Caenorhabditis elegans: one gene and its partner. The protein of the gene in region 1 purifies or fractionates together with the protein of each later gene. This does not show direct contact. Each region holds a gene or a part of one and is shown on either strand. Other genes may lie near its edges. The genes, in order: cup-15 and C03B1.2.

What was found.
Region 2: the proteins of cup-15 (region 1) and C03B1.2 fractionate together in Caenorhabditis elegans (co-fractionation; one large-scale study listed by BioGRID). This does not show direct contact.

Annotation. Positions count from the first base shown.
Region 1 is NC_003280.10:9,346,154-9,362,804, reverse strand, and holds cup-15 (Coelomocyte uptake defective protein 15), read right to left. Parts: upstream 9,806-16,651; coding exon 9,665-9,805; intron 9,618-9,664; coding exon 9,489-9,617; intron 9,423-9,488; coding exon 9,296-9,422; intron 9,253-9,295; coding exon 8,815-9,252; intron 8,767-8,814; coding exon 8,633-8,766; 3' UTR 8,478-8,632; downstream 1-8,477. Other genes in the region: mel-11 (cGMP-dependent protein kinase interacting domain-containing protein), read right to left, coding at 432-761, 939-1,156, 1,561-2,115, 2,680-2,880, 4,191-4,271; sdhb-1 (Succinate dehydrogenase [ubiquinone] iron-sulfur subunit, mitochondrial), read left to right, coding at 10,074-10,143, 10,791-10,939, 10,991-11,224, 11,271-11,399, 11,572-11,796, 11,846-11,935; F42A8.1 (uncharacterized protein), read left to right, coding at 16,240-16,337. UniProt on the Caenorhabditis elegans protein: Modulates the transport of substances from the endosomal to lysosomal compartments. Plays a role in lysosome formation and function in coelomocytes.
Region 2 is NC_003284.9:6,361,116-6,378,008, forward strand, and holds C03B1.2 (uncharacterized protein), read left to right. Parts: upstream 1-8,901; 5' UTR 8,902-8,918; coding exon 8,919-9,075; intron 9,076-9,160; coding exon 9,161-9,272; intron 9,273-10,260; exon of another isoform or gene 10,261-10,349; intron 10,350-11,070; coding exon 11,071-11,258; intron 11,259-11,357; coding exon 11,358-11,413; intron 11,414-11,874; coding exon 11,875-12,042; 3' UTR 12,043-12,268; downstream 12,269-16,893. Other genes in the region: C03B1.4 (uncharacterized protein), read left to right, coding at 3,381-3,612, 3,858-3,954, 4,028-4,212, 4,304-4,359, 4,411-4,602; C03B1.3 (uncharacterized protein), read left to right, coding at 4,900-5,137, 5,607-5,716; C03B1.17 (CHCH domain-containing protein), read left to right, coding at 12,533-12,704, 13,492-13,652; C03B1.1 (uncharacterized protein), read left to right, coding at 13,636-13,884, 13,944-14,477; LAMP family protein lmp-1, read right to left, coding at 15,644-15,901, 15,977-16,186, 16,241-16,458, 16,512-16,539.

The DNA of each region.
Region 1 (16,651 bases):
GGTCTCGTCACGACAATTTTTATTATAAATTGAAAATGGGTGTGCACCTTTTAAGACTACTGTAATTTCAAACTCTCCTTTTTGAGGAATTTCTATCGGTTTTTCATATAAAAAATACCGCAAAATGACAAAATTTCGCGTCTAGGTAATAACGTACTTGCTCAAAATGGAATTTTCGAGGAAACAACATCAGTAGATTTTTTAAATTCACTTTTCAGTTGAATTTGAATTTTAATGATTTTTAAAGGTTTGATTGTGACCTGTTTAAGAACAAAATTCAGTTTTTTTTTTGAAATTAAAACGAGCAATTCTCGAAAATAAAAAGCTTGCAGACGTGTCCCTGAATGAGAGGGGAGAAGTTTCAAACTCATAGGGTGGTGGAAATTGCAGGAGAAAACATAAATTTCCAGCTCAAAAGCCTGCTCACTCACCTCGTTATAGATATACTCCTCGAACTTGTAGTTTCCGATCGAAGCGGTGAAATTTCTTTTCCATTTTTTAATTCAGCTTCACTTTTTTCTTCCTCTTCTTCTTCAACATCTTCTTCTTCTTCATCTTCTTCAGCTTCTTCCATTTCATCTTCTGCGACATATTCTTCATCATCAACAGCTGATTCTTTCGATGATTCTCTTGAATCTTTTTGTGCAGCAGAAATATCATTTTCACCGATAACAATGGTGGTTGTGGTGGTATTTGTGTTGGATGATGTGGTCGAGCCAACTGATGCAGTGGATGGATGCGAGTGAAGAAACTCGTTTTCACTGGAGAAATATAAAAAAATAGACAAAAAAATAGAGAAGCGATAGGATATAGTGGAATAATTGAGGGTGAACATGCAATGTTTTTAAAATATTTTTTTGAGGAAATTCTGATTCAGATTTTTCCCAATAAAACTTTCCAATATTAAATTTTCAAATTATTAATTTCTAAACCCCCACCTATGCTGATCCTTATGCTGTAAATCTCGTTTCCGTTCACTTGTCAGAACATGTTCCTCGTGTGACGGCATTCTATGATTCTTCTCCTGAAGTATTGAAGTTGGTGGCTGGGAGCCACTACCCGGTGATTTTCGCTTGTTCTGTACTTTCACAGTGTCAGCCAACTCGACAAGATAATCGATGCATTCTTTATCAGCTACTCCAAGAACGTCAGCACCCTGAAAATTGTTTTTTTTTTAAATAAAAATTTAAAAAAATTTAAAGCAATTGGTGTGAATTTATATACTTTTGATAAAAATAAAGTTTGTACATTTTTTCAGTAAATAATATTTTTTATCTTTGAAAAAACATATTTTGGTATGACAAATGTTTTTAAATTCAGTTTTGTTGTCGTTTTTCTTTGATAGGACTTCCATGTCGGCGTCGAAACGCCTGCCTGGCTTAATTAAGGCGACCTCTGCCTTCCTCATTTATTTTTTAAATTTGATTTTCATCGAATTGAAATTCGAAGATAAGAAATTTGAAAATTCACGCCAGAATACAGAAAATAGGCGAGTGGCTGGTAGGTTTCAAGCAGGCGCCAGGTCTTGAAAACCGCAACAGAAAAACTGTAAACCCCTACCGTAAACGTTAGATCCGATAATTCCGCTCCATTTTCCAATAATATTTTACATGCATCTCGTTCAGCCCAATGTGCAGCCGCATGCAACGGAGTCCATCCTTCGACATCCTGTGCCCGTACATTTCCACCCGCTTTGATAAGTAATTCGAGTAATTGTGTGTATCCTCGCCCAGCAGCTACATGCATTGCAGTTCCACCTGTTCTGTGGTGAGGAATATCTCGATATTCTCCCTGACTCATCCACATATTCACATCTTTCAACATTGTCTGAAGTTCTTGATCTCTACAAGCATCGAGATCAATCATTTGTCGCTTGTAATCATCGTCAAGATAATCACGACATTGTTCATCTACTGCAAGATCAAGTGCTAACTCTTTATCACTATTAACTATTGAGAGATCGGCTCCATGTTGACACAAATATCTGACTATTGCCACATTTCCACAACATGCAGCTGCGTGAAGAGGTGTCCATCCTTCATTATCTTGTGCATTCACATCGGCTCCTTTTTCACAAAGAAATCGAACCATTTCGGGTTTTGAATCAATTACCGACTGAAAATATTCAATTTCGAATGTTTTGTTTATGCAATATTTCAATTTTTCAATGTTCTATCCATATGCAAAACGTTGCGATTTGTTTCAAAAGTACGGTCTCGAAGCACCAAATTTAAAATATTGTGCGCCTTAAAGGAGTACTGTAGCTGTTTTTAAAGAACTTTTTTTTTACGAAAAATGTGTTTTTTAAGGATTCAAAAAGAATTTTTTTAAAATTTATTTTTGAACTTTTATTTCCAGAAAAAGTTAAGGTTGTTTTCTAAAATAAATTCCAAATTAAATTCGTTTTGTTTTTATCAATTTCATTTTTTTTTGTAATTTCGTTGCTCCAGCCCTGCTCTCTGTTGTTGCAGGATTTTCCTCGATGTTTCATACGTTTTCAAACGTTTGTTTAACTTTTATTGAAAAACATGTGCAATTTTGAAGAAACTGTAGAAAAACTACAGTACTCCTTTAGGTTCACCTCGAGACCGGGTATCGTATTTTTTTAAACAAAATTCACGAAACTTCACATATGGACGATACAAGTACCAAATTGTCAATAATAAATGCAAATCTCACCTGATGCAATGCGGTCAACCCGTCAACTGTACAAGTATTAATATTGGCACCCTTGTTCAACAGTTCTTCAACTTCTTCTTCATCTCCAGACATACATGCCGACAGAAAAATATCACTGTCTTGAAATTGTACTTTTGGACGTTTCGTTCGCCGAGCTGCTTCTGCGTTCATCTCGCTGCTCTGCCAACGGCGCAATTGATCCTGAAAATTTAAAAATTACAAATAAATGGTTTTTTTTGTTTAAAAAATATTAAATTTATTGAATGTTTAAACTTCGAACCCTCGGCGTAAAAAAGAGTAAAAGTTGGCACACGCCGAGAGAGCTCACAAATTGTGTTTGCACCTGTTTGCACAATTGATTAACAAGTATAAACGACTGGATTTCGGTCGTGATTGTCGTTTTTTTTTTGTTCACTAAATACCTACTGGTTTGTAATTTTTTTTAGAAATTAATTTTTGAATGATCAAGAGAAAAAGTTTCAAAGCAAATGGAAAAAAATAAAACGAATAATCGTCCGATTAGAATGAGTCAAAACTTGACACTGATAAGAAAAAAGTTCAACCGGAAGCCTGTGGAAACTATCAAAAAAAGATCAAAAAACGTTCTCTTTTGGTGGTTTTTTTTCCGGAGAAGAGACGAAAGAGACGTCGTCGTCGTCGCCGTCGTCGTGTCCCTGTGCCCGCTGACTCACTTTTATTGTCAATGTGTTTGTATGGAAAATGGCAGGAAAAATGGAGAACGGGGGTGGAGGAGGAAACATGGAAAATGAAGGAAGAACGACGGTTCAGACAAAAAATCATAGAGAGCAAGGTGTTTTCAGAAACTTTCTCTAGAATAATTTTAAATTTCTCAAATTTTTAATTCGAAAAAAAAAACTACAAAAAAACTGAACAAGCTTCAAACTGGAAAATTAAGCAGATGAAATTTTTTAAAGATTTTCACGTCAAAAAACGGGTCCCCGGTCTCGAAACGATTCATTTATGTTTAATGCAAAAAGGCTTGCGCCTTTAAAGAGTACTGTAATTTCAACCTACTATTGTTGTGAAATTCCATGATTTTTTTAACGTTTTTCGTTTTTGAAAATATATTAATTTACTGAACAAAAAAAGACAACTATGAAAACTATGGAAAAAAAAATGAAAATTCCTTTTTGAAAGTTACAGTAACCTTTAAAGGTGCATAACTTTTCGCATTTAACAGAAATCTTTCGTGTCGAGACCGGGTACCGTACTTTTGGCGCAAAAACCGAAGAAAGTCGGCCAAAAATTTGATATTTAAAGTTCGAAGATCACTTTTAACAAAAATGAAATTTCAAACTGATTTTTAATTTATAATGTTGAAATTTAAATATAAATTTAGACAATTTCTTCAATTTAAACGAAGAAAATTTTAGTTTTATTTTACTATTTTAATTTGTGATAAACGAGGTTTTTACCAAATTTTTTTTCGCAAAAATTACAGATTTATTTTTTTGTTGAATTTTGTTTTCAAACTTTTGAAAAAAGCTCACCTTTCTCTTATTCACAACATTAAAAGTGATTTGCTGCTTTGCTTGCAGCATATGCGCATCGTCCTCGTCATCTTGACCCATTCTGCAAAATATGAAATTTTTTTAGTAAAAAATGTTGTTGTTTGAGATAGGTTCAATCAGAAAAGCAAAGAACGATGAGAAAAGTGATACAAATGACGTTCGTTTCATTGATACAATAATGGGTAGAAATTCCAAAAAATATATAAAGTATTTTGTAAAAATATTATGGTTTTGGAAACGAGAAAAAATAGATCAAACGATGAAGCTTGGGAAAAATGACTCGTATTCACACACAGACACCCACAAGAAATGACCAGTTTAGCGTGTGACTGAAACCGGAGACTTATTCCGCGTATTCGACCACCTCCAAGTCAATTACTCTTCATATCCCACCACCACTACTTTAACGTTCACTCATTTCCCGGTTCATCCTTCTTTTGAAATATGAGACCACAACTATTCGATTAATCTTTTGACTAAAGTTTCATAGCTTTTGCGTATAAATCTTGGAATGTGAATACCCGAATTTTCGAAATCTGCCGGTTTTTCGGTTTTCCGAAATACCAAAAAATCAAAAAATTTACGGGTTTTTCTAAAAAAAAAAATCTAAAAAATGCAACGTTCTTGTTAAATAAAAAACCAAAAATCGAAAAATCGAATACCGTATATAATTATAAAACACTTATAAATGGTTCTAAATTTTTTTTAATTTTGCAACAAAAATGTGCAATTTGAATTTTTTGGCAAAACTGAAAAAAAAAATTTCAAACTTCAAATTTATAAATAATTTAAAACCATTTTTAAATATATATATTCGTTCATTAGGACCAATTTTCAATAATTTTAAGCAAACTATCCATGGACTCCGCCATTAAAAATATATCCTTAAGGATATATAAATATAATACTAATCAATACAACTCCCACTCATCCATTGAAAAGTGCGGCAAGTGGGTGAAAATAGTGAGGCAGTGAAGATCAGAAAAGGCTTAGAGAATTAGATAAAGTGATGTGATAAAGGTGGTTTTGGATTGTGGATACACCGGAGAACAAATATTATGAAATTGGGCACTATTTCCGGTGCAATTTGTTTTCTAAAAATATTGGTGTAAAATATCTATGTTCAAAAATTTTATAAAATGAAATATTTAGAGTTTCCAAAGTTTCTAAAAAAAGTTTGCGGTGAGTCATTGAAGACTAACTAAACAAATTTGGAAAAATAATTGAAAAAGGCAAGGCATTTCTGTAAAAAACGCTTAAAATTTTTGAAAATTGCCAATCAATGTTTATATTTCAAAAGAAATGTTATATTTTTGGAAAGAAACATTTCTTTTTTTTTTGCAATCAATGTTAATATAAAACATTGGCTATGGCATTTAAATTAAAAATTCATTGTTTAAAAAATCTAGGTTCAATGTTCAGAAAATGAGAAATTAAAAAACAATTTTCGAGTAACGGACACATTGAACTAATTCCAGAGAAAAAATGGAACAGTGCCCCCGGGATTAGGGGCGACAAGTCGATGGATAGGTCGTTCTCTCTCTCTCTATTTTCAACGATATAGACAGAAAGAGAGAATTAGTGATTCGAGACGCAGATACACCATCATCCAAGAGAAAGAGACCGGGAGGGACGTACTTGAAACTTTCCGCCTGCACGCGGCGTGTCTGCGTCTATTAAACACCGCTCAATATATTTCGACTCTCTCGCTCTGTTCTCTTTTCCCGCATCATTATACACACAGCGGCAGTTGGCTGGTTGCCCTCTCTTCCCATCATCCTTCTCCCGATCCTCCTCTCACCGTTCTCTTATTCATCATCATCCTTAACCTGTTGTGCTGCTTGGTGGTCGTGGTGATGGTTAGCGCTTACTAATAAGCTCTTGGAACTCTTGAAAAATCTCGGTAGCAGCATCACACAAAAAATGGTTGTAAATAGAGAGAAAGAGACAACTATTAGCACTTGTCAACGATTTGCGGTTTTTTAAGAACCAGGTCAAGATGGTATTTACTGCCCACGCAAGAACACTTCAAAAATGAGGTACAAAAGAACAATCATTGAAAAAGCATGTAATAAGTTAGAAAAACCTAAAATGTTTTGTTTTGAAATCGTATCAACTTTACGGCCCAGTCACCGTGAGTACTCAAAGCCACAGGCGAGCATCAGAATGTCATAAACTAGAGATACACTTCCCAGGGCAGCTAGATAGAATACAAAGAACGTGTGTGTAATACATAAATTATGTGTGCACTCTTTGAAGTGAAAAAACACACATAAATTGAATGAGCAAACATCTACGTTCATCTATAATAGAGTCTCGAGAAGTTGTGAGTACAAGTGCACACTGATCAGATCACCTAACTTTGTGTATAACTGTCTGATCAAAGCGTTCTTTTCGTGTACTCAACCATTGCCAAAGATATTGATCTTTCTTGTGAGACTCCGAAAGTCTCGTATCTAGGTGTGAATCTATACCGGAAAAGGGATGAACAACGGAAGTTAATTTTACAGTCTATAAGAAGTGACAGGCGGAAATCCAAAAGGTAAAGATTTCAATAAATCCTTATTACTGTATATTATTCTGTTAAAACAGCTGGCTCTTTTTAATCATTCGCGAGCAGGTGTATAAATTGGACACTCCCTTTTTCAAAAATTACCGCCTCGTTGGACAGTTCTCCCCCGAAAATCTAGACTATTATGAATTGACGATCGCCTATGCCTCTTCCGCCACAATATTATCAAGAATGTCCTTAATTTGGATTGATTATTCCGAGGTATTCGCGGTGCGGCGCTGAGATGTTCACTATCATAGGACAAGTATATACAAAGAAAAGGAATTTGATCGCGGTAACAAAGACTGAAGACAAGATATGGAGTCAAAGAAATGTTTCGCTAATTTTGAACAATAGAAGAACTTACAAGTCAATTCTAGTAAAACAAAATGTTCAGAAAATATATCTACTTTATTTTTAAAATAGCCCTCTAGACATGTACTTTATCAGCAGTATCATCAGATCAGCTGGTCCACATAAAAAGTACGAAGGATCAATTGGGAGTAGAGTGATGAGATTTGGACGGAAAACAGCTGGTTTTGAAGGAGGAGGGAAACGAACATGTACACATTGACAAGAAGCGTGTGAATTGGTTGACGAAGAGAATTGGATGAGAAGAGTAAGAAAAGAGAAAGATGTTCAAAAGCATAAGCAAAAGGAAGTAGCAGCTTGGGAATGGCAGGGGACCAACGTAGTGCTCAATTTGTTGTCATTGTTTAGCTTTTGAAATCTCGAATGTATTAGAAAAGCGGACAAGGTGACATTCGTCGGCTAGGCTCAATAAGAGAAATATCGACAAAAAATGCACACACATTTCCTGCATTCGAGTGGCACCAAAAGGAGGTGCTGCTGCAGTTGCCGATTTGACAAACATGGAAGCCAAATTGACGAGAACTAAAAAAAGGAGAGAGGAAGGTATTGAGGGGAGTGTTGGGAGCACCGACGTGTGAATGAATGACTGCAGCAGCTTGAACACCTGTCTGGTACACCTGGTACCGGATATGGATGTCTCGGAATATTCCCAAGAATAAATTATCAGGAAATTACTTAGATGTCGTATTCGGATGTTATAAATGGCTCAGGAGGACTATTAATTTTCAATTGCAATGTTTTTTTTGTTGAAAAATTATTGCTAATTTGGAAGAAAAAAAGTGAAAGCGGTTGACTGGTGTCCATCCATCGAACAACAACTATTTACATGGAATGAACCCGACCGATAAGAAGGCTGCGCGCGCGCCGCCGCTTCTCCTCCGGACGATATACGCGCATCCCTCTGTGTGTGTTAGAACAAACAGTGTATCCTCCTTCTTGGCCGGACGGAGGAGAAGAACTCGTCGTCGTTTTTCACTTTTTCACCCGGATTGTTGGGTTAGAGCACGGAGAGCAGGAGCAACATGCGGTTAACAAGCTCGTTAGGACGGTCATTTCGGCGACTTCTCGTTTTTGTGGCGAGTGGAAGAAAACCAACATAAAAAAGTTCGAAAGAAACATGTGAGAAAGTGTCTGAATTTTGAGATAGATTAAGTCTAATTTGCGGGAGAGAAGTGTATAGATGGAGCATCTTCAGGAAATCGGAAAGTTAGAATTTTGGAAAGAAGAAAAATAGAGTTAGAAAATAGAAAAATAGAGTTCAGGCAAGGGAAATAGTTTGAGAAAAATAGATATTCGTGATGATAATTAACATCAAAATAATTTAAATAGAATTCGAAGTAATTGAATTTGAATTGCAATTTTATCACAAATATACAAAAAGAACAAAGTTAGCAAGAGAGCATCACAGGAAAGAGAACACAGGCACGTATTCGGCAAGGACTAGGTTTCGAAATTAAATTTCAAACAAATATAAGAATTGGATCAATTTGAGCAATTGTTATCGTGTCTGATGGATTGGTACATTGTATAACACAGAAGATCCTGGAGAAACACGACTAACAAGATCTGCATCCGACATTCCCGATGAAAGAAGACGTGATCTTTGGCCATGTGGATCTGATAGACGAGCATCTGAACGAAAATAATATAATATATTTCAAGGAATACAGAAAATCTTACATTGAATAAGACGCCTCGTTTCACCGCCACCCTGAATGTAGCTGGCAGCATAAAATAGAGCTGTGAGCAGCAATAATGTTCCAAAAGTGATCATAATTCCAAATAAATCACGATTTCTGTCTTGTTTTTCAGCACATTTCCACACATCATCCCATAAATGAATTGTATCGTTCATCGTAGTCTCCACGTCGACACAAAAATCTACATCTGGAGTTGTGTAGATTTTCCAGTAATATCCAAAGAGTTCGTCAAAGGTGGTCTTGCAGAGATTACAGATTTTACTTCCATTGGTAAGATTATCATCCAGTACACCTCCAGATGTGTAATTAACAACACAATTTCTCCATTCATACATTCTGTTCTGAAATTGCATTGTCCTCTCACTGAATGACACTTCCGATTTGTTTTGCGGAAAATTCCATTTAATTGTTATGCAGGCTGAAAAATGGGAATTTATGATTTTTTTTGCCGATATACTCACAGTCACATCTGGATTTTTCCCAAATTTCTGAAGTTAAAGCTTTTGATATATCCGTACTGTACGAGAGCAGATAATTGTCATAAATAACTTGAGAGCAAGTTCGATTATCCAGGGAGTAGACATTATTCTGTAATAAAATTCATATTTTATGTGAAGACGGTTTTAAAAAATATTGTTTTCAAATTATACTCACCAGGTTTTTTGTTTCATATTCAAATTGTTTGAAATTAATGTAGTTTTGAAAGCATTTTGTGCAAACTACAGGTGGAATTGACCAGTTTGTGGCGCATGCTACCATTTCCGATTGTACAACAGCTAGTTTCTGAAATAAAGATGTTTAGTTGCATTAAATACTTCGAAGAATCTTACTTCCACATATTTTTGACAGGGTCCATCCAAATCCCAAGGATCATCAGTGATCGGCGCTGTTTCGAGCCGCTCTTCTCGAAGAGAAATCACGGAAAATATAAGTAAGCTGCAGAAAAGTATCCTTGAAAGTGAATTTACCATCTGCAAAATAATTTTTATTAAAAAGAAAGCATTTTCTAGCTTTAATATAGTTTTAAAACTAAAATAAACAAACAAATAAATAAAAAACAAAATAAATGTTTGCCCGTAAATCCACACTCAAACTATAAACAACATGCACTGCGTTATTTCGGAGTCTCGTTACAAAAAATAAATAGTCACGTCCATTATTGTCTCATGTTTTTCAACAAATTTCTTTGTATTTACATTTTAATTTCTATTAAACTTTGATTTATTGAATAAATCTCAGATGTTGGCCCGTTCGGCTCGTCTTCTGCACTCGGCGGAGCTCGCCGCCAACGCCATTCGTGCTGCTTCGGGTACGTTTTTTAATTTTGGTAATTTTCCATCAAATATGGTACTTCGTGTGGAATACTAGAAAAATTAAATATAAATTATTTAGGAAAGCATTTTTTAACGAGAAATATTAGGCTTTACCCGAGATTTCACAAGGTTTCGTGTTTTGCACGTAGGCAGCACTTTTTCAACGTTACTATTTTTTAATAAGACGACAATTTTTTATGTTCAGCTTTATTTTGTTTAATTATCTTTGAATAATTTTTCTAACATTACATGAAATTGGATATGTCAGAAAATTATATTATGTCTTCAAAAACTAAAATTTTCCATTTTACACGTAGGCACTGAAAGCTGTAAAGCTCGGTCGTGTTATTAGATGAAAAACGCAGATTTTTTTTTAAAAATCAAATACTGTTCCGTAAATATTAACCATCATTCAAAGTTCTGTTAATTTAAAAATATCAGTTTTGGAATTTCTTGAATCAAAATTTAAAATTCAAAAAATTTGAGAAAAGGGAATTTATAAATTTATAGCAAGACTTTATAATAAACAAAAATAATGTTTTGAAAAACGTTTTTTTAATTTTGTTTGAGCTCAACGTTGCAAGAATAATATTTATCCCTTAAATTCACCATTTTTAACACTATTTTATTGGAACTGTTTCAGGAGCGCCAGCTACTGCAGCGGCGGCTGAAGCCTCTTTTCCATCAACTGATGATGTAGCCGCCAAGACCAAGAAGACCGGAAACCGTATCAAGACGTTCGAGATCTATCGTTTCAACCCAGAAGCACCAGGAGCCAAGCCAACTGTGCAGGTTGATTTTCAAAGTTTTTTTTCTTTTTTTAAAATTTAATAGTTATTGTAGAAATTCGATGTTGATCTTGACCAATGCGGAACTATGATTCTCGACGCTCTCATCAAGATCAAGAATGAGGTCGATCCAACTTTGACTTTCAGAAGAAGTTGTCGTGAAGGAATCTGTGGATCCTGTGCCATGAACATCGGAGGTCAAAACACTTTGGCTTGCATCTGCAAAATCGATTCGGATACCTCAAAGAGCACCAAAATCTACCCACTTCCACATATGTTCGTTGTGAAGGTATTGTTTTAGAATCTAAAAAAAACGAATAAACCTTTTATTTTAGGACCTTGTCCCAGATATGAACCTCTTCTACGCTCAATATGCCTCTATTCAACCATGGATTCAAAAGAAGACCCCATTGACTCTTGGAGAAAAGCAGATGCACCAAAGTGTGGCTGAACGTGATCGTCTTGTAAGTTTCAGTATATTTTCTGGTGCAGAAGTATTTGAAAAAGCATAACATAATTTTTAACTCAAAAAAGTTTTAAAATGAAAAACATTCATTTTTTCAAACGAAATAAAAGTCTAAAATCAATAATTTATTCATGATTATCACAACATTATAAAGTAATTTATATATTTAGGATGGTCTCTACGAGTGTATTCTCTGTGCTTGCTGCTCCACGTCATGCCCATCCTACTGGTGGAATGCTGATAAGTACCTCGGTCCAGCTGTTCTCATGCAAGCCTACAGATGGGTCATCGATTCTCGTGATGACTACGCCACCGAACGCCTTCACCGTATGCACGACTCTTTCTCAGCTTTCAAGTGCCACACCATCATGAATTGCACAAAGACATGCCCAAAAGTTAGAGTGTTCTCTGTTTTATATCTCGACTTAAACGAATTAATTTCAGCACTTGAACCCAGCTAAGGCCATCGGAGAGATCAAATCGCTGCTTACTGGATTCACATCGAAGCCAGCCGCTGAGCCATCAGCATTTTAAATAAGAAAATTCCATTGTTTTGCCTAGATTCGATGTAATATTTAGCTCTGGTTGATCGATTGTCGCTTCTTTTCGAAATACCCGAATTATCTATCCCCGTTTTCCGATGTCTATACCACGAGCCTCCTCTTTTTGCACAATAAACGGAATTGGTAGATAACTGTAAAAATTTCGTTTGATTAAAATATAAAAGTCCCCGAAAAACATTGCACAATGAACATTCATTTCTATCAATTCAACTCTTCCTAACCTTTTCGTGTTCTTTACTCTACCGACCCAATCTGAAACAAGTATGATCCTTTGTGTGTGTCTTCCTCTCCCAGGGTCGAGACAAAAACATAATTAGTTCGATAATATGATACTGACAGGTTGGCTTGACAAGTAAGATGAGAACAGGAGGACGGAAAATTAAGACGGAAAATTAATTACGGGAAGTTAGAAAACATTGAAACTACCCGGATGCTGAGAACAAAATACAAAGGTTGTAAATATTGACAAAATTTTTTGATTTTCAGTTTGAAAAACCTTTTTTTCTTTTGAAATTTCCCATGTCAATTGCAAGAACTTTTCAATTTTCTGCTTTCAATATGTTTTCTTCACTATCATAAAACTACTATCATAGATCTATTAATTTCTTAAAAATTAGAAAAAAACTTTCGTATATTATATGTACAGACTTCAAATTTTGTCATTTTTGCGCCGAAAATACGGTATCCGGTCTCGACACGACATATTTTGTGAAATTTCAAAACGAATGCCCTTTAAAGAATACTGTAGTTCCAAACTTTATTTTCGTAGATTTTTCATAGATTTTGATTCAAAAAAATATTTATTTATTTAAAAAGGTACTGTAGTTTTGGCGCAAAACACGGGTACGGTTGCAGAAAAGTTCCGCTCGTGCCAAGACCCGAGATAGTTCGATTTATTCGGTTTATCAGTTGAGCGATTCGACTCATAATTTTTTAAAGTACTATGGGATTTGTGTATTTTTACCCCAAATTGAAAATTAAAATTGAACTTGATATGTATGTATGTAGATCAAATTTTCATACTACTGTTATGGAAACATTGGAAGGACGTGGAAACGGAATTATTATTTCTCTATAAAGTATTGTATTTATGAATAAAGGTTTTAATCACAATTTCTCGTACAATCAAACTCCTCATGTTCATAAATATCGTACAATTTTGTTTTCTTGGTCCATAATGTTTTATAATATTACGTCATGTGCAATTTCATAAAGTTATTCGAACTCTTACATTCAATTATCAATTTTGGAAACAATCTGTCACCAAAAGGCAAGCCAAGACTCTCTGGGGGATCACATAACTTCATAAACTCGCCAAATTTCGTATCTTCAAACTTGTGTATCTTGAAAAATAAACGTCTAGGAAACAAATACTCAACTGATAAAATGTTTAAAAATATTTTATATATTTTTTGCATTACTTTACAGTTTTCAATATTCAAACTATTTGTTGAGTTACACAGAGTAAAAGCCATTTTACCAAAAATCACAGGAATTTTTGAGAACTCTTCTGTTGTACCAGTCATAACTCAACATCGATTGAGTTTCAGAAGTAAAATGTTAATGAATAATAATTGCAAGATATTTTTCCACATTTTATCAGTTAGAATTTTTTTGATATTTTTATGTTCAGCCAAGTTACAGACCGTTTTTCGAAAAAATATCGACTTGAAATTTTGAACAATGATCACTTTTTTGAGGTTTCTACAATGTCCTAAAAAATCTTTCAAAAATGTTGGCTCATCTCCAAAATCGTCCTCCGCTCTGAAAAAAGAAAGTGGACCTTTGCCTTCCGAAAAATGGACGAAAAAATGAAATTGAGCTTTTTTGGTCGAAAAAAATATTTTTAGAATGCTGAGAACACGTTAAACACGAATATCATGTTTATTTTGAGATCCGGATGTTCTGAAAACGTCTGACGTAGATTTAAAAAAGCATCGATTTATTTTCATTTTCAACGTGAAAGTTTTGTGCAGCTTTTAGATTTCAAAAGAATCTCAAAATTTAGAGTTTTGAGATTCTTTTGAAATCTAAAAGCTGCACAAAACTTTCACGTTGAAAATGAAAATAAATCGATGCTTTTTTAAATCTATGTCAGACGTTTTCAGAACATCCGGATCTCAAAATGAACATGATATTCGTGTTTAACGTGTTCTCAGCATTCGAAAAATATTTTTTTCGACCAAAAAAGCTCAATTTCATTTTTTCAGAGCGGAGGACGATTTTGGAGATGAGCCAACATTTTTGAAAGATTTTTTAGGACATTGTAGAAACCTCAAAAAAGTGATCATTGTTCAAAATTTCAAGTCGATACGTTGGATATGAAGAGTTTTATGAGCGAAATTGGATTTTTTCGAAAAACGGTCTGTAACTTGGCTGAACATAAAAATATCAAAAAAGTCTAACTGATAAAATGTGGAAAAATATTTTTTTTTTACTATCCAACAAAAATTTAATTCTGAAACTCAATGGATGTTGAGTTAAGACTGGTACAACAGAACAGTTCTCAAAAATTTTGGTAGATTTTAGGAAACTATCTTTGAATCAGTGTAACTCAATAAATCCTTGCTACTTTGTAATGAAAATTGATGCAAAGGGAAGAAAAAATATTTCTAATAGTTTTGTTTGTTGAACATTTGTTTTCTAGAACTATAGTTTTCGAGATACGTCAGTTTGAAGATACGCAATTTTGCGAGTTTTAGAAGATATTGCAAATGAATATAACCATTTTTGTACGTCAACATATTGTCTCACTTCTTTCTCTATAATTTTAACGGATTTCTCATGAACAAAAATGAAGTCGAGTAGTCAATGAGATTTCAACTCTTTCCTTTTTCCAATTTCCCCATCTCACTTCCGATCTCTCCGGAAACCTTTTCATCAGACTCTCCTGTCCATTGATAAATGACAAGTTGATTACACTGTTTTATTTATTGTAAATAAATCAACCTGATTGTTTATTTTCTAATGTTGTCCTATTTATTTTTTAAAGTGTCAGCAATCATTTCCTGCAAATAAGAAGACGTCAGTGTGTCTCAGAGAACGTTTTTTTCTGAATTGAATTTCATCTCGTCAGTGAACTACTGACACCTACACAACAAAATGTTGTCACGGTATATGTAGGTGGGCGGCAATTAGCATTTCGACCGGAGGAGAAACGGTTTCAAATATGCGTTTGGATGAAATAAGTGTCTAGGAATTTTTGGATGAATAATTGAGAACTCATATGTGAAAATCGAGGTGAGTTTTTGATGAAGAAGGCAGAGAATATATACAAATTAAAAAAACACACACATTTTCAAAGATGGATTATTTTGGAAATCCCATACTACAGCAGTAAGCCACATTCAGATTGAGATACGAGGCGCGTGTTCGGAGTGATCCTTCCACTGGAAAACGTGAAATTTCTTACAGGACTGATTGTGACGTCATATCCAAAAAGTTAGATTATCATATTTTCCAGAGCTCAAACGAGTCGAATGTGATATTGTGATAGAAAATGATATGCCGTTACTCCCAGTTGCTCAATTTTGGCAACTAATTTCTTTTTGGAATAGATGGAATCTCGGAAATTTCCGTTTTCTCAAAAGTACGTTCAATTTGAAGTGCGCTTAAATTTAATTCTTCACAGTAGAAAAGCTGTATCATACCGTAATTCAGAGGTGGCAGGCAGGTCCTAACTATAAGTTTTCATTTGCCCATCCAGTTTTATAGAGTGATGTTTTGAATAAGTGAGTAGCTCTAGTACGAATTGATAACTTTGAAAGGCATCATCCATAATTTTTGGGCTCCCTCAGCTTAGAATGTTTACCGAATTGTTTTGAACTATTTGGAAAATCTATAAATCTATTTTGCACCATCTGACAGCTTGAAAACTCATAGACCAATACACTGTATATTTTTAGCTCAATTTCCGGTAGTTTCCCCTCCTACACGCACTTTCACTGAAATGGTCATTTATGGTGTTCTTTCCTCCAGAAAACTTGTAATTTATGAGATATTTGAATAACAAAACCGGCGTAACTATGATGTATATCCCAATTCTTTTCCGCTTTTTCTTCATCTTAAAACAAACATTCAAGAGCGAAAAGGTGTTCCTAGAGCTCCGCCCACTTGAAGAACAATTGTCCATTTTCGGACGGAAAAGGGGAGAGAAAAGATGAAAAAAGTGAAAAAGAGAAAGAAGATGTGGGGGAGGAAGTGGGAGGAGCCTAGGAGCTACTATAAAAATCACCGAAAGCGGGGGAATTAGAGACAAAAGAAATTTTGATGAAAATGCAGAACAACTTGGTTCTACTTATCCTCTCGATTCTTTCAATTTTCGAGGTTTCGGCCTATTCAAATGTCGAAAAAGGAGCTGCAGCTAGAGCTAGGTTTGTTTTATTTTTTAAAGGTTCAGTGTATCCAAAATTTTCGAAAAATTAATCCTTATTAGTCTCAAACCTTACGATTTTCGTAGCAAATTTTTTTATTCTCAAAAAATTTGTTTTTGAAAGTCATATGGCTTCCATGGCTTCTAAATATGCCTTTTTTTGCCTACGTGCCTGCCTATGCCTATTTTTTATTTGGCATTAATTATAAAAATTTTTCTGGAGGCACGTATAAAACATTAAACCTCTAGTATCATGGTGGTTCAATTTCAGAGCCAAACTTCTGAGATTAGATATGAGGAATCATTTTTTCTAAC
Region 2 (16,893 bases), on another chromosome or scaffold:
AACGGTAATCGCTTTGTTTGACTGACATGTTGTATCTTATCAGAAAAATTGAGGTAATGACCTTACACTTGACATGAATCATCACCCTTCAACCAAAGTTTGGAGGAAAATAATTTAATATCTGTTCGCCAACATTGTTGAAATTCTAACATTTGAATTAGATATCAATAAATAATGTTTCAATTAATAATATTAAATATACTAAATTACAAGTCACATGCAATTTAACAGCTTTGACGTTTGAACGGAAAGCATAATTTTTTGTTGAGTTTATCGAATATTTAACAGTGCAAGAAAGATTTATAGATCCATTTGTTTTTTTCAAAGTTTTTAACGCTGATGATTCAACACTTCAAATTTTCAGATGTTTTCCTCTAAAACTAGGCACGTATAAAAAATCTTAAAATATCGGCTGAGAAACTTATCACTTAATATTTTCGTATCTTCGTTTTTGGTTTTGTTAGTTGTTTGTGAAGCAAAAAAATTAGCTAGTCCTGCTTATATATAATCCATATTTGCAGTCGACATCTTGCTGGCCAGTGTTTGACAATGGTACCTGTGTCGCATGTAGCCCAACAACAACAAGTTTTCACGAAACATTTAAAATGACATGATTTGTAGCCTCTTCTTGTGACATATAAATTCTGTGCTCTGTTGCTTAATAGCTTGCTTTTCTTTCAGGGTTTGAAAAACGACGAAGAGGTAACAAATCGTTCTTCTTGAACTTTAGAAATTTTCACCGTTTTTTTGTCGGTATCAGCATTTCTATTCATTTCTTCGACTTTTTCTGAGATTGTTAGGCATTATTTATAAATATCATTGCAAACTCTAGTTGGAAACTGAAAAAAAAATCTTGTTGGAAACTACTCATAAACTACTGCTACAGGGAGCATAAAGATTACCCGAGTATTCCGAAAAGTTAGATGAATACGGTTCTGAGTAATTGAGAAGATTGTCCACGATAACAAAATTGGGTCAGCCAATCTAAAGGCTTACTAGGGAATGGCCAGCTTAGGGGTGAGGTACCTAGAGACGCCACATATGCCAAACGGAAGCTGAGATCATTGGCTACAAGAATATGCTTTCAAATTCTGCAACGGACCTCTGGGAGTCTGGAAATTCTTGTCTGAAATTATGCTTTTGAATGCTCGAAAGTGGTAAGAATTTAGAATTTATTACAGAAAAACGTGAAGTTGAATACCTAGAAAAGATGAAAATGTGTTTTGATACAGTGCATACAGTACTTGTTTCAAGTATAAAACTAATTTTATTAATTAAACGTTTTTCTGTAATAAATTCTAAATTCTTACCACTTTCGAGCATTCAAAAGCATAATTTCAGACAAGAATTTCCAGACTCCCAGAGGTCCGTTGCAGAATTTGAAAGCATATTCTTGTAGCCAATGATCTCAGCTTCCGTTTGGCATATGTGGCGTCTCTAGGTACCTCACCCCTAAGCTGGCCATTCCCTAGTTAGGAAAACACCATTCCTAAGCCTAACGAGAAAAATGGGTATCACGTTTAATATATACGGATAAATTTATGGAAGTGTAAATAATTTTAAAATGGCGCGGGTTTAATACACAATTTCTTTTGGAAACTTTTCAAAATTTGATCACATCTTATAGAAAGTTATGATTTTTTTTTATTTTTCGAAAAAAAAAATTGAAATTATTTGTAAGGGGTTCGAAAAAAATTTGTTCGAAAAAAAAAGTTATCAAAAATTATCAAATATATTTACAGAACGGATCTAAAACAACAACTAATTATTTTCACCAGAACTTGAATGAAAGGCTAATTATTAAGGTTTTTTTGGCACTATCAGCATTTTCATTTATAACAATCCTTTCTGAGATTGTCAGGTATCATTTATAAATAGCATTGAAAACTCTTCTTGGAAACTGAAAATTAATCTAGTTGGAAACTACTTATCAACGACCGCTACAGGGAGTAAAAAGATTTTATGTTTTCAAAAATAGTAATTGGATACAGAGTATTTCAACTCAGAGAGTCAACTCTGAGAACTTCCGCCCAATTATTTACTGAAGTTAAGATAGATGATTTGAATGCTATTCAACAAAAAGTCTCGTTATAATTTTGTTTCTTTTTTCCATTCCGTTTTTTATGATTCACATTTGATGGGATGATTGAATTTAAGAATTTATGATAACAGACGGTGTTTCTCGAGTTGACTGCAGTTCCCCGGTGTTCAGAGATTTTAGTTAAGTCAAGTTAGTGTTCTAGATGTTCTCATCAAATAGTAGTGTAGTTTAAAATCTAGTGATCAGTTGTAAAGTTATTTTCTATTGATTTGGCACAACGATGACGAGTTTTTAGAATGTTTATTATATTTAATAGAGATGTGATATAAATTTTGGTGTGCTAAGCCAGGTTAAACTGAAGCTTTAAACTTTAAACTTATACCTATTTTCTCCAACGCAATCGAAAACCAACTTGTACTGTTATGTAATCCTTCAGTCTCCGCCAACGAAATTCATGCGGACCCAATTGGCACATTGCCAACCCCGTTTGTTTCTTTTCTCTCTCAGCCTCTCGTGTGCTTTCTCCCAACGGCAGATAACCGAGGACTGTGTCGCGCCTCGTGATCGCGCCCATCATGGCCCCCCTTCAATGATACTCGCAATCTACATGCTCAGTGTGATGAGGGCGTTTGTCTCTCCCTTCCTTTCAGCAAGCACACATTTGTTACACACTTTTCTCAATTTAAGGTTAATGGTTGAATATTTAAAACGTGGTTTCTTCTTCTAATTTTTCATGTTTATGGTAAATTTAGTTTACATCAAGCCGAATATCAGAAATAATCAATGCGACTACTAAAACTCATTAACAAATGCTACATACCTGCAGCTCAAAATCTATGGATATGCTGCTTAGCGTATTTCTATCTCACGCTTTGTTACTTCCATTTTTCAAACCTCCAAAAAATTCCGTTCCAAATTCAAACATTCTCTCAAGGTCGTTCTTATGCTTCGCAAAAATATTTTTGATTCGTAAAATCAGATGGCGCTGGTCACCCTGTCTTTCACTTTCAAGATATTAGTATAGGCAACCTTCCGGATTTTAAATATAAAACAGAACCTGGCTAGGGTATATTTGTAATTTTTATGTCGTGTCAGTAAAGACAGACATCAATAAACCTCTAAATCTCTTTACAAATTGTGCTCACAGTCGGTACAGACATAAGGTCGTATTACGTATATGCGCCACAACCATTGCCCCTTTACAACCATAGCCTCTTCACATCTATGCTTCATTTTCACTCATCAAAGCAGCTTTCATCATTTTTTCCAAATTTTCTCTCAGTTCTATCATCGTTTTGATTGAGGTTCATTGTTACAAGTTAGCATTTTATTTCAAATCATGAGTCTCCCGGACAGTGAGACCCTGATGAAAACAGTGCTCGAAAAGTATCCAGACGCTACTGATTTAAAAGAAGACATTGATGTGCATATGGAAGAGTTCAAAGCTTTTGAGTATCGCTTCAAATTGACCAACGTTGTTCTCCGGGCTCTTACTCTTCCCATCCCGAAACTTGAAGATGAATCAGAAGTGGTGTTCGAAGGAAGAAGTATCACGTACCACTGGACTTTCTGTGAGTTTTGAAACGGGGAAAATCTTTGTTATTTGCCTTGAATAGTTTAGATTTTTTGAATATGGTCCGTTTTGTAATTGAAAAAACGTTTGCTCAAAAACACTCCAAAATAAAAGTTAAACAAAACTATACGTTCGACAATCAGCAAAACATTGGGAAACTGATTTCCGGTTGCCAAAAAGATGCCGTAATATCTACAACCAAGAATGCATTGTTTTCTTCAAAATTAGAATTTTTTGTTCCAGGGACCGGAGACGACGAGAAAAAAATTGTGTCCTGGGTGAATTATAGCCCGAAGCCAATCGCTATTCAAACGTTGAAAAATAAAAGTTCCCATCGAAAGTAAGTGTTAAAGAACAGTTACCGCCTAATATAAGAATAATTTATAAGAATAATTTTGTCAAGTTTGTTTCAGGAAAGACATTACCTACAGCCAGTATATTGATATCAAAGGCACCGTTGAGCCAGGATTTGTCGTACCAAAAAACTACTTTGTGCCACATCCTGACCCAGACCTCCAACCAGAGGATGCCGTTGTTCACTACCAGATTTTGACCAGCATGAAAGATTCCATCGAGGATATGCCTCATTTGATGTCGGGTAAATACAAAAAATGACAAATAATAATTGACAAAATTTTGGAAACAAAAAAAAATTGGCAAAATTTTGAAAACAAAAAAAATTGTTCCAGAAACAAAGCTCGATTGCGAAATGTACATAAAGGACCGCTTTGAGGAGTTGCTCCAGGTTTGAGAATAAGCATGTGTTAATAGTTTAAATGTATTCTATATATTGTAGGAGTACCAAGAGAGCAAGAACACATACTACTTGGCCCGTGCCGACTTTTACCGCAAGCTGAAATTCGAGCACTTGGATCTGGATCATCAGCTTCTTATCTCCGCAGCCAATCGAGATTGGATTGACGGATATTTCTTGGAGAAGGAGCTTCGCGCTTCATATTCCCTCAAAATTGATAGTCTTGCGTGTTGATTTTATTTGTATCCTGAAATATCACGTTGTTGTATATTACCATCTGAATTCAATTTGCCTTGCACTTTTTTCTATACTACTTCTAACATTCATATCCGTACATGATATCAGTTTGAATGCATTTTACGAGTTGTTTTTTTTAATTGGTGCTAATCGACTGTAATAAATCATGTTTAACACATTTAACAAAGCCTGTTCCATTTTTTATTATTTTGTAACTATGTTTTGACATATCTCAGAATTATTTTACATGGAATTCTTAACATTTATTATGATAATGATTACCAGTTTCCAGAAATGCCACCTATCATTCCTCTAAACCTGACGCTGTCTCATATATTGGGACGAATTCAGCGAAAGTATCCAAACGCGACCATCGATGCTCAGAGAATCAGTGCTCATATGGGTGAATTCAGAGTTCTGGAATGTTATTTCAATATGACACGCGTCGCCATTAGAGCAATAACTTACCCGCAAGATGAGAATGGAAAAGAATCATGTGCTTCTGGGGAAGTACATTATCACTGGGCATGCTGTAGGTTTTTGAGACAGAACAGTTGACACTGCCAATATATTAAAAGAATATGTGTTTGTAAGCTGTCGTCCAGAACTACACCGTTATCTCTCCACTACCGGCAATTCTAAAAAGCAATATCAAAACAAGTTGTCAGGTAGCTCCTCGAACAACTAAATCAATAAGTACATAGACGATTTTAATTACTATTTTACTGTTTGAAATTGTGTTTTGTTTAGATGAGAAAATATTAACATTATATTGACGGTATTTATGAATAAAACACATTTTAGAACATTCACAATTGCCTTATTGTTTATAGAAAGTATTACGAAAATAGACGTAGAAGATTGTTACTTATAAATCTTTTATTTTCCTAATCAGTGCTTCACTCAGTGTTTTTTCCTGAAAAATGATTAGGAATACAAAACTAATAGGCAACAGTTTTCAGTTTATAATGTTACGTTGAGCGTAATTCAACATTTTTCAGTCTGCGGTGTATCACCTAATCTTCAAGTTTACATCATACATTACAAACCGAGTGGAAACAATGTTCAACAAAAGAAGAAAAACAACGAGAACCTTGCCGTCAGAAAATGAGCGGCTAACCAATACTGTTTCAAAATTTTCAATTGTAGATCTCCTAACTATCATCTCTACTGTCCGTATTAACTTTGATTTTTGTTAAGTGTTTCCCATTTTAATTTTATTTTTAAGCAAATAACATTATGCAACTTTCCGGTATAGATTTTAGCGATCAAAATTTTCTTGGAACGTGTTCTGATAATTATTTTTACTAATCAAAATAAATGCTCCGTCAGTTTCTGGCTTTGTGTTTAAGATTTTGAACATCGGGTATGCAATTACAACAGAGTTCTCCAGAAAAATGCTTCCTTGAATAGATTGTCACAGATATATGCTTTGAAATGAAAATATAAACGAACACGTTTCGAATATTTGAACTCTAGGCAGGTGAGAAAACAAGAGCAAACATCTTCACAATTTAATTTTTAATACAAACTCAGATATGTTGCCCCGTTAGAAATTTTGGAAATTTTGGAAATTTTGGTACTTGTGTAATATGCCCCCGCCATTTTAAGAATTAATTTTTTAACTTATAAAATAAAAAAGTGTACATTTTTTTTGAATTTTTAGGCTTAGGAAAACATCATTTTTAAGCTTAGCGGGTATCACGTTTAATTGAAACGGATAAATTGATGGAAATTTGATTTATTTCTAAAATGGCGGGGCATAATACACAAGCACCGAACTTTTTACTGTAGTAGGTTTAATAACAAAAGGGTAAAAAATAATTAAGTTTCAAATATGACCGGTTTGCATTCTTATTATAAACATAATGGGACCCACATGACCATTCCAGAATGAGAAATCTGAAAAACTTATCAAAAATGCTTTTGGCAGGAAAAATTTCAAAATACTACAGGGTCAAATATCTGAAATTTTGTAAACTTGTTTCTGTAACAACGGCTGGTAATCAATTTTTATTAATTTAAAACTACTTTTTGTTTTTTGTTATTTGTTGTTCATTAGCGGTTTCAAGATAGTTTGTGCACTTTTGAAATCAAAGAGCATTAAAAATTTGGGGATTATCGTTAAAATAGCGAAATATGGTTCATTGCTCTTTTAGGCTGAGAAAAGTAACGAATTTGGAAATGAAATCTTTTGAATGAAAATGTATAAAAATTTATTTCAGCGAAATTTGACAGTATAAAACTGACAAATTTTGAGGTGTTAGCGGAAAACGGAACTTTTTGTGAAAACTTTGAATTGCCATAACTTTTTTTTGAGGATTACGTTTCATCATAAATATCTGTCGTCCTAATTTGTGATGCCTTTCTTTAAACTTCCTGATATATTTCTGATTTACTATAAATTTATTTCTGTATTTCCAACGTAAGTTGTCAAATGCCAGAATTGTTGATTTGACACCCTCATTCAGATTTTAGTTTCAGCATGCAATTTCCAGCTTGACCACATTGCAGGTGCTCTCACGACTAACGATTACGCTTGTGTAGAGAAAAGTGTGGATCGAATCAATCTTTTTGTTCCCAATAAAAAAGTAATAAAATTATTTTGAGCATTTTTGGGTCTATTTGTTTCATTTTCTACTTTGCAACAGTTCCATTGTTTGGCTACATTCTATTTAATTTAAAAAGATGAGTTTTCAAGTTTCCGTTTTGAAGTTGTGAATATTTGAGTGAACCAGGAAAAGTCGGAGGTGAAAATGAAGAGTAAAGTAGGAAACACACTCTTTATTTTCAGCTGTGCTCCTCTCATTTTTTACACTACACTCTACATACATTTTTAGCGTTTTGCTGTGCATTTCATTAAGTTTCTTTCAAATAGATTAAAGATCATTCAGATGTGTAGTGTTTTAATCGAATATAGACGACTTAATATTGATCATAGTACACCACTTTAGACGCATCTGAATTTCTGCCAATGTTGCTTTATTTAGGGAAATGTTCAAAGATCACGCCGCCAATTTTTGAAACTTGTTTCTTTTTTACTCTGAATTCATAAATGTTTATGACAGATTCAAGAGTTCAAGAGGCTTGTTGTGTGGTTTCTAGAATGTTCTATTTTAAGTTGTAAAAAAACGAATTTTTGAAACGTCTGAACTGGATTCCTGATTTCCTTATGTAATTCTGAAAATGCTTCAAAATACATTTTATGTATTTTTTTAAAATTTTGAGTGCAAAAGCTTATGGTTTAATTGGTGTTCAATTAATCCTATATAAAACATTATAAAAGCTACGTTAAAGGTGCCCAAACGTTACAGCAAAATTTTGAAACAAATTTTTTAATTCTTTAAAACTACAGTCAAAATGAGTTAAAATAGTTGGTTTTCGAATATTCTATGGGTTTAAAAATGCAACAATGCTCTAAATTTCTTAAGAATTGCCAAACTTCACAATTTACCAAAACTTCGACTGAAAATTTTGAAAAATCTTAATATTTTCGAGGGCGTTTTTCTAATATTCGGTCACATTTTTAACCACTCATTTTATATTGAATGAAATGTCTTGCAAATTTTTCAGACCAATTTTTTCTAGTTCAATGTACTCTTCTGTGGATAAATTAATTATAGGGACCAATCTGAAAATTTTATCTTCCAATGACATACATTTGTTTAATTCAGAAATCAGCCCAAGTAAACTCTGTACTGGAATTTTTTGTCTTGAAAGATTTTTGATTTGCTTTTCTTTGCACCTTTTTTTTCAATGTAGAAGAATTGTTGTTTTTAATGGACAAAAACAGAGTTCCGTCATCATTTTTACTGTTTTGGAATTTGTCGTGATAGTTTTAAGTCTTCCTTCAATTAAAAATGAGCAAATCTAAGCTTAAACATATTTTCACAAATTTTTACATTTTTCATTGCATTTCGATTTTTTACATATAATTTCAATTAGAAAGCTCATCCAAGAACATCAATTTCCATGTTCTCTCGTTTGCGACGTATCGCCCACTCAAAGAACATAACGAGAAAGAGAAGCCGTGGCTCCACCCTATACACCGTGATTTGCTCTCCGCATGGCTTACCCATTTCAAACCTTTAGAGGCGTCGTCGTTCTTTTTGCCGCCCTAATAAACATTTCCTCTTTTGGCAAAAAAGAGCAGCTAGTGAACACAGAGTACACAGTTTCTCTCTTTTTTTATATATATTTTTTACTTCGTCATCAACTATTATTATGTGTCCTGTGCTCACCTTTTTTGTCTGCAGCTGTCCACTTTTTTGCTTTTTTTCTTATTTTAAAAATAAATTATTTCAGAACCAAATATGGAGCAATTATTTCAAAAATACGAGAAAAAATTGAAGCTCCAGAATGTACAAGCACGCATCTGGGAAGAAAAACATACATATATAAAATCCGGAAAAGCTGTTTTCAAAGTTCCAAACCCGCCAAAACAAGAGAGAACTTTCCGTTGGGTAATCGGTAAGACTTTTCTTTCTTTTTTAGAGTTCTTTTTAGACGCTTTATGAAAAACTGCTATTTCCGGTAGTAATCTACTTTTTTCCAGAAGCTCCGGCGAGCAGCTGCCAGACATCACGTGGATATTCTGTCAAATTCACACCCAGTCGAGTGAAAAGAGCAAAAATCCCGGAACGAATGTACAATATGAAACGATGTTTGTGAGTTTAACTTTTATTCATCTATGGAAGACGGAAGTCAATATTCCAAAAATATTCCACAGTGATATATAATTAATTACAACATTCACGCAGCATTTTCCATGCTAGAGATCGTGAATTTTGTTCAACTAATGTTTATGTATCACAAGTGCCTGGTGCTGAAGCATAGTACATCAACATTAGATGAAACGTATCTAATAATAGTGTACTTTCAAGCACAAAGCACATACTTACTCTCCAGACCTCTGCAACTTTCCGTCTCAATGGATTGCAACTTTTTTTACTGGCGCGAGGGTTCTCATTGGTTTCTTTTATTCATTTTTTAGTGCAATGTTTGGTTTGAAGAACTTTAAATTGGTCACATTAAAGGAGGGTACGGTCAGTGGAGAAATTATAAAAATTTTATCCATGATGCGAAAATGACCAAATATCATAATAAACATTTTAAACAAATTTTGGATTTTTAAAATTTCAAGTCAAATAGTGGTGAAAACTGTGTTTGCGCTACTTTTCGTTTAAAGTATTCTCTCAGCCCCATGAAATGTTGGAATATGAATATTTCAAACATAATTCGAACATACAACTGGAAGGCAACTTTTTTTTTATTGATCGTTGACTTCCAACAAAAAATTGAAAACTGAGCTATCACTGTTTTAACAACAAAAAACATTCAATTTTTTTTTTGAAAAAATTTATGATGGAATTTGATTATGTTAGCACCACAAGAATAGTCTAGAACATAACTTTTTTTCAGAGTAGAATATTTTTCACAGGTAAATCACCGCCTTGAATTATGCTTTTCTACACATCACTTTTATTTTTAAAAAATACATCATCGCTCGTTTGCCTCGCATTAGCTAACATAAGTCTAGCAGGAAAAAAAAGAAGAAACGTTGACAAATTTTTTTGCCTGGGTCTCTCGCTATGCTGTTACTCGGTTCACTCGTAGCGGTCGTCCATATCACTGCTGTCGACAAGAGAGAATAACATGACTGCTTGGCGCAATGGTAGCGCGTTCGACTCCAGATCGAAAGGTTGGGCGTTCGATCCGCTCAGTGGTCAAATTTTTTGTTTTTTAAGTAGTAATATAATACAATTTAATTCAAAATTACACGCAAAAATTTAATAAAGTAGTCCAAAATGCTAATCGTGTGAAAAAATGCCTTCTGGTAATGTATTTCTCACACGAAAATTTGTTGAAATTGGTTTTTGACACAAGCGAATGTTGCAATTATTTTCTTGATTTTTCTACAAATTTGAAAATCAAATTTCACGACTGCAAGTATAACATTAAAAAACAATATACCCAAGCCCACAAAAAAACGTATTCTGAAAAATTGGTACAATTGAGAAATAAAATTTGAGAATCCCTTATCTTTAGAAGTTGATCTCTTGATATTGATACAACTCATGCTAGACAGTGTCTACTCTGCTCAAAAAGTCAATTAGTAATTTGATCCGCTAGCAATCTAACGCATAGGATGCACCCGCAAACTGAACACCTATATCCAGACAATTGTTGCGCAATAATGTCTAAGTCTCCTGTATTTGTGTGTATTTTACGAAACATGTAACGGATAGGAATTTTGCTGACCTCACACGTATGGATGATGTGCAACAACTTGCGATTAAGGATAGGATATGTGTCAATTAGAGCAAATGGATTATACTAATGAAAACAATTGAAGAGTTTTTTACCTTTACGGAAATCTTTATAATTAGTTCAACTTGAACAACGGGAATTTAATTTTTTTTTTAACATGGGATAAATGAAATAATTAAGATGAACAAATTTCAGCCAACTCCGCCGAGACAGTCGTATTGCATTGTCAGATGCAATTTTCCAGCCGGAAAAGAAGACAAACACGATGGATCATTTATTTACCGCTTCTACAGCTCCGGAATACTCGGAGAAGGAATTGCGACAGATAGAAGATTTTCAGTCATTTTTTGACAATTGGGATGATGATTACTATACGGAGCAAGGTACTTTTAGAATTTCTGAAATATTTTTACAAAAATTACTATTTTTAATTCTAGAAAAATATCCAGTTATATATGACCTCATAACAATTCAAATTTCAGATTGTCTAGACCTGATGCAACAAGCTGTAAATGGAAGAATCGAAGTTTATCAAGAGGTTAGAAAAACCATTTTAATAGAAACCTAACTTTTAACAAAGCTCAATAACTTTAAATCTTCTTAGAAAAATTTTTGTTGAGTAAAAATAAAAAATAAACACTAAAAAAACAAATATATGCAGAATAATCAAAAGAGTTTTGGGTCAAGATCGGAACATTAATTTTTTCCCCGTTTTCACTTATTCTTGTCAAAATGTATTAAACTGAAAAACCACGAAGTTTCGAGAATTCCAAAGCACTCAGACGAATCTCTTCGCTGTGAAATACATAAAATGGTTACTTGAAAACAATTAAATTCTAATATTTTTAATATGTAAAAAAAATTTGATTCTTATTTTCCAAATTTAGCAAACCTCTTCTGAAATCTAGTAAAATGGTATCCGATTTTTCATAGATTTGGAGTTTAACTTGAACATATTCAGTTTGTTGAATTGAATCGGTACCGCAGAAAACATTTCAGGTATACAAGCAAACTTCCAACCCAATATATCTAGCAAAAGCAGTTTTTATCAAATTTCTCGACTTTGATCGACTCTCTCCACTTCATAAAACGTACTTGATGCTCAGCGAGGAATGTGAATTTCCAATGTGCTATGTAGAAGGAATTCTCCGTCGTCATTATGAATAATTGTTTTCTGGCTTTTCATATTATTTTTAGCCATTATTATTTTTTGTTGCTTAGATGACATTTTGTTTATTGTATTTGAAAACCAGTATTTTTTGCTCTTTTCATTTTGATTTCATTTTTATTCCGTTCACATTAATAGTGTAATTGGGGATTTGTTCATGGTATTTCATATTTTTAGTGTCCTGGAAATCGTATACTTCATATTTATAAAGATGTATTTTAATGATTTCTGCATTCGTATCCACTTTAAAGTATATAGCCAGGTTCCGCTCACAGTAAAAGAATCAAGTATAACGCAATAAACAGAGTTCAACAGTGTTGAGCCACGCCCACGTGACCTCTCTAAGGTAACAGATATACTATAGACAAACTCCGCCTATTATGTCTAGAGCAGCTTTGTACCGTATCATTTGCAACAGTTGCTCTCGCTCCATTGTGACTTTTCTGAGCTCAAAATTCTAACCATTGTTATTTCAATTCGTATTCTAGAATGCTTCCGGCCGCGAATGCTAGCAACAGCCTTCCTCGTAAAAGTATGAGAACCGTGAAGTCATCCAGACGTCGCAGCCTTGCTCCAAATGAATGCTTTAATACTGAAAAGGAGAAAGGAAACGATCTTTTCTCGTCTCTTCATCGAAAAATTGTCAAAACTGTCAGGAGATGTAAGTAATTATTGGTAGTAGTAAAATATGTAATAGTTGAAATAAAACCAGTAAGTATGCTTCCATGTAGATTTTTTTTAAATTCATGTGAGAGTTGCATTGAGTAGTAAGTATCACGCATCCAAGAATATATGAAACTTATGTTTTTGTGGAGTGGGATTCTTTTTCATTGCCGTTACTAACATTATTGTAGACTTAAGTATAAGTTCTTGAAGCTAATGCGCTCAAAACACGACTTTTTAAAGGAGTAGTAATGGTTCGGACAATTTTGAACGTAGAGACGCAAAATAGGCTCAAATAAACTGAATTCTGAGGCATCCCAAAAATTCTTCAAAAATATATTATGCCGGTTTAAAATAACTGAAAAATTAAGATAATTTTTTCTAAAATTTCATATTTTACCAACTATTCCGTTTCGCAAGTTTTTGAAATTAAGTTTTATTTGATTATCTTTTTTTGTATCAATTTCAGTGATTTTCGGTTACTTATCAGTGTATTCAAATCAACTATTATACGTGAGATGAACAACCAAAATATATTTTGAACAAATGAATAATAATTTTCAATTTTTTGTTCGTTTCAGCACATTTTGCATCTATATATATACGTTTGAAATACCCCATTCCATTACTCCTACTTTGAGCCCAAATGATAATTGTTCCCAATGTAGTAGAAGTGGTGCCGTAAAGAGTCCGTATTGAACGAACATTGGCCGAAAAAAGACAGGCGCTACCAGTCCAATCTGAAAAAAAGTAACTCACAATAATTCAACTCAAATAACTTGCAGCTATCGCTCCTGAACAACTTCGTTTGAGAACTGATGAAGAGAGAAGAGACCACGAAGCCTGCGATTTGGAAAACCAGAAAAAATTAGACATTTGCAAGGACCAGTACGAAGCTGAGCTTGTAATGTGCAAAACCCAACACCAAAATGAACTGGACGCGTGAAATTGAGCAATACAAACAAGTCGTTGCATCATATAAATTGAAGATGAAGCGGATGGAAATGAAGATCAGCGACATATCAGAAGAAAAACGTCAATCATCGATGCTATTCGATCCTGCCGGAACTCATTCGGATGACAAAGAAGTTTGTGAATACTGGAGAATGATTAATTATGTGGACCAAAACTTCAATTTGATTGGAGGAATGATAAAAATGCATCAGTACTGTTTGTCTGTGAGTATTCCAGATTTCAGTTATTAAGCGAGAGCTCATAAATTATTAATTTTTTGCAGGTGTACAATAAAAGTGGATCTGGATACTTCCGTGATGGAGCAAACTTCTTCCGAAATGCGGATCCATTGAATCTTTCCAACGATAGCAAGATTCCCATCCAAATGGTTTGCATGAATCTGTGGACCTGCGAAAAAATCGAAATCTGGTATCGAGATTTTTACTCGCATCGTTACTTGGAGCAAGTCGATGGCAAGGAAAAATACGATGAAGATCAATATACAGTTTTTGACCAGTTGTTTGACAATCTTGGCAGTGACGCGAGCACATTGATGGAGCAACAAATCGAGCTCATGAGAAATTACTGTCAAGCGAAGGCTGAGCTTACAAACATGGTGGAGTTCCAGAGAGGCGTTCGGTTTTGGAGAATGGTGTCACCAATTCATCTGCCACGTAACTATCAGCTGGCGTTGATTCTTGCCAAGCGTAATGGATGGGTGCATGAAGATGTGGAGCGTTGGTTCAGAGTCTTGTACGACGAGTCATGCTGTGTTGGAGCCCGAGGTCGTGATGTCTATCTAAATTTCGGTCGTTGAAAAAACTCAATTACACACTTGTGGTTTAAAAACTCATTTATATTGTCCCCCAATTTCACTCAAAATTACTTCTCTATAAATTAATCTAATTATATATTATCACTTATCCTACCTTTTTCATGTGTGTTTTGTCTCTATACAGTTATTCTGGTTTTGATTTGTTCAATTTTAACATGTATTTTTACTTACCTGCCACGGTCATTCTGTTTCGTCATTAATATTAATTTTTAAATTTCAGCAGTGGTCATTTTTCATTTTAATAAAAATTTTTTTTAAAAAAACATGAAAAATGAATCATTTCAATGTTCACTGTTAATACCGTTTTGGCAACATTCCGGCACGTCTGTGCTTAGAAAAAAACATGTTATGATTAAATTGATTAAAGATTATTGATTAAAGAACTACAGTTTTTCAGTTAATTTCCATGTTTTAAAATAGGTATCCCAGAGAGGGTTTTAAGATTTCGAAAATATGTGCTTCAATCATGGGGCGCAGCATTTGCTAATTGGCAATTGCAATTTCGGCAAGTTTAGCATTTGACGAGATTGGACTACATTTTCGAGTTTAGAAAATCACCGTTTTAATGCAAAAGCTGTGAAAAACAAGTCACGGTAAATTTTGTAATGTTTATATTTTATTTCGTCACGGTAAGTAACTCATTAATTAGAATTCACTTTATTCTGTTATACTTTTAGCTAGCTCCGATCTTTGCCTTCAAATAATCCATCCGTTCCCATGCTGGAACTCCTTGAAACTTCAGAAATCCCTAAAGACCCTTTTAAAAATCTTATTATTCATGTATCCTCATATTTGCATAACAATGCACATATTGATTTTAGAAGTAAAGACTGAAATTTCGCAATTTTGGTTGGAGAGGGACTTTATTTGAAACAAGGGATGAAGGATATTAAACGTAAAGTCATCGTACGGGCTTAGAAACAGTGTTCTACTACCACGTGAGGTACTACTCGTTTGAAAAATGGAAGAGAATATCAGAAAAATGAAATAGAACTGAGATAAGTAAAAGAGGAAATGTTGGATGATTGCACAACATTGCAACAGAGGAAATGGAAACAAAGAATCATCAGATTCTGAGCATGAACAAGGCTATTGATAATATTTTGATTGAATGATGATAAGAACAGTTTCACAACAATAGCAAAGATTTAGACGCTGGCATATCCTTGTCTCTTTGCACGAGCACGTCCGATAAGGTATCCGACGAGCACAACCACGACGAGAGCCGCGAGGCAGGCTCCGACGACGATTGGGACAACTTCGTTGGTGCGAGCATCCAAATAGCACACCTCGTAGACTTGGTCAGTTGGGAAAACGGTGCCGTTCATCTGTGCAAATGCAATCACGTTGGATGTCTTGATGTCAATGGTAGATCCTCCGACGAGTCCAAGCTTGGCGGTGGAGCACTGAAAATTTTTGAGTTAGGCAAGAAATAGTGAGTGGTAACAAGACCCCAAATGCTATAGCAGAAATGGTATTACCTTGTAAGCGTTGGTCTGAGTTGCTGTAACATCTCCGGCAGCATTGGCGTCTCTGACAAACTTTCCAAAGTATGGGACAAGATCCGTTCTCTGAGTGGTGAGGGTGTAGTCAATGATCTCAAAGGCGACGTTGCTAGATGATCCGAACACGATATCGAGCTCCCACTCTTTGGCGTAACGGGCAGATTGTCCTTCAGGGTTGAACTTAATCTGGAAATTTTTTCAAGTTATAAATTGCCCTAAAGTTGTTATTCAAAAACTCACATTCAACGTCTGAACCGATTGATTGTTGCGGACTCCGTTGCAATCTCCTTCGACACTGACTGTCTCGTTGAATGTGACCGTGAACTTCTCGGTGGTGTTCTTCTCGTTGAAGACCAAATTGAACTGGAAGTCTCCGTCGAGGATGATGCACGTGAGTCCGGTGTTGTTGTTGGTTACATAGTAATGCGAAGCGGTGGCGGATGCGGAGGCCAGGAAGGCTGAAAATTGATTGATTGCTATTGTATTTCTGCGTAGGAAGTATTTCACTTACCAAACAAGATGACAAACGATTTCAACATAGTTCAATTGTGTAGAATGAGTCCGACGATCTGAAAATGAAAACTTTGTTGTGCTACGAGAGCAGAGCGGACAAGCAATAGATTTGTGTTTGTGTAGGCACAAGCAAACAGTAAATTGCTACGCGAGTTGAATGTGATTAAAAAGGTGGGAACAATGAGGAATATGGAGTGTTTATGCTTCTACAATTCAATGGTCATAGATTGATCATAACAAAAATCAGAGTCATAACAAAACAAAACATAAACTGCTGAGAATAAATGCAGAGAATGTTTATGGGGTGGATGAGTCACCTCATCTCTTGCAAAACAATCGATCTTGTGCGGTTTCTAATTGGAGACATGGTATGATGATGG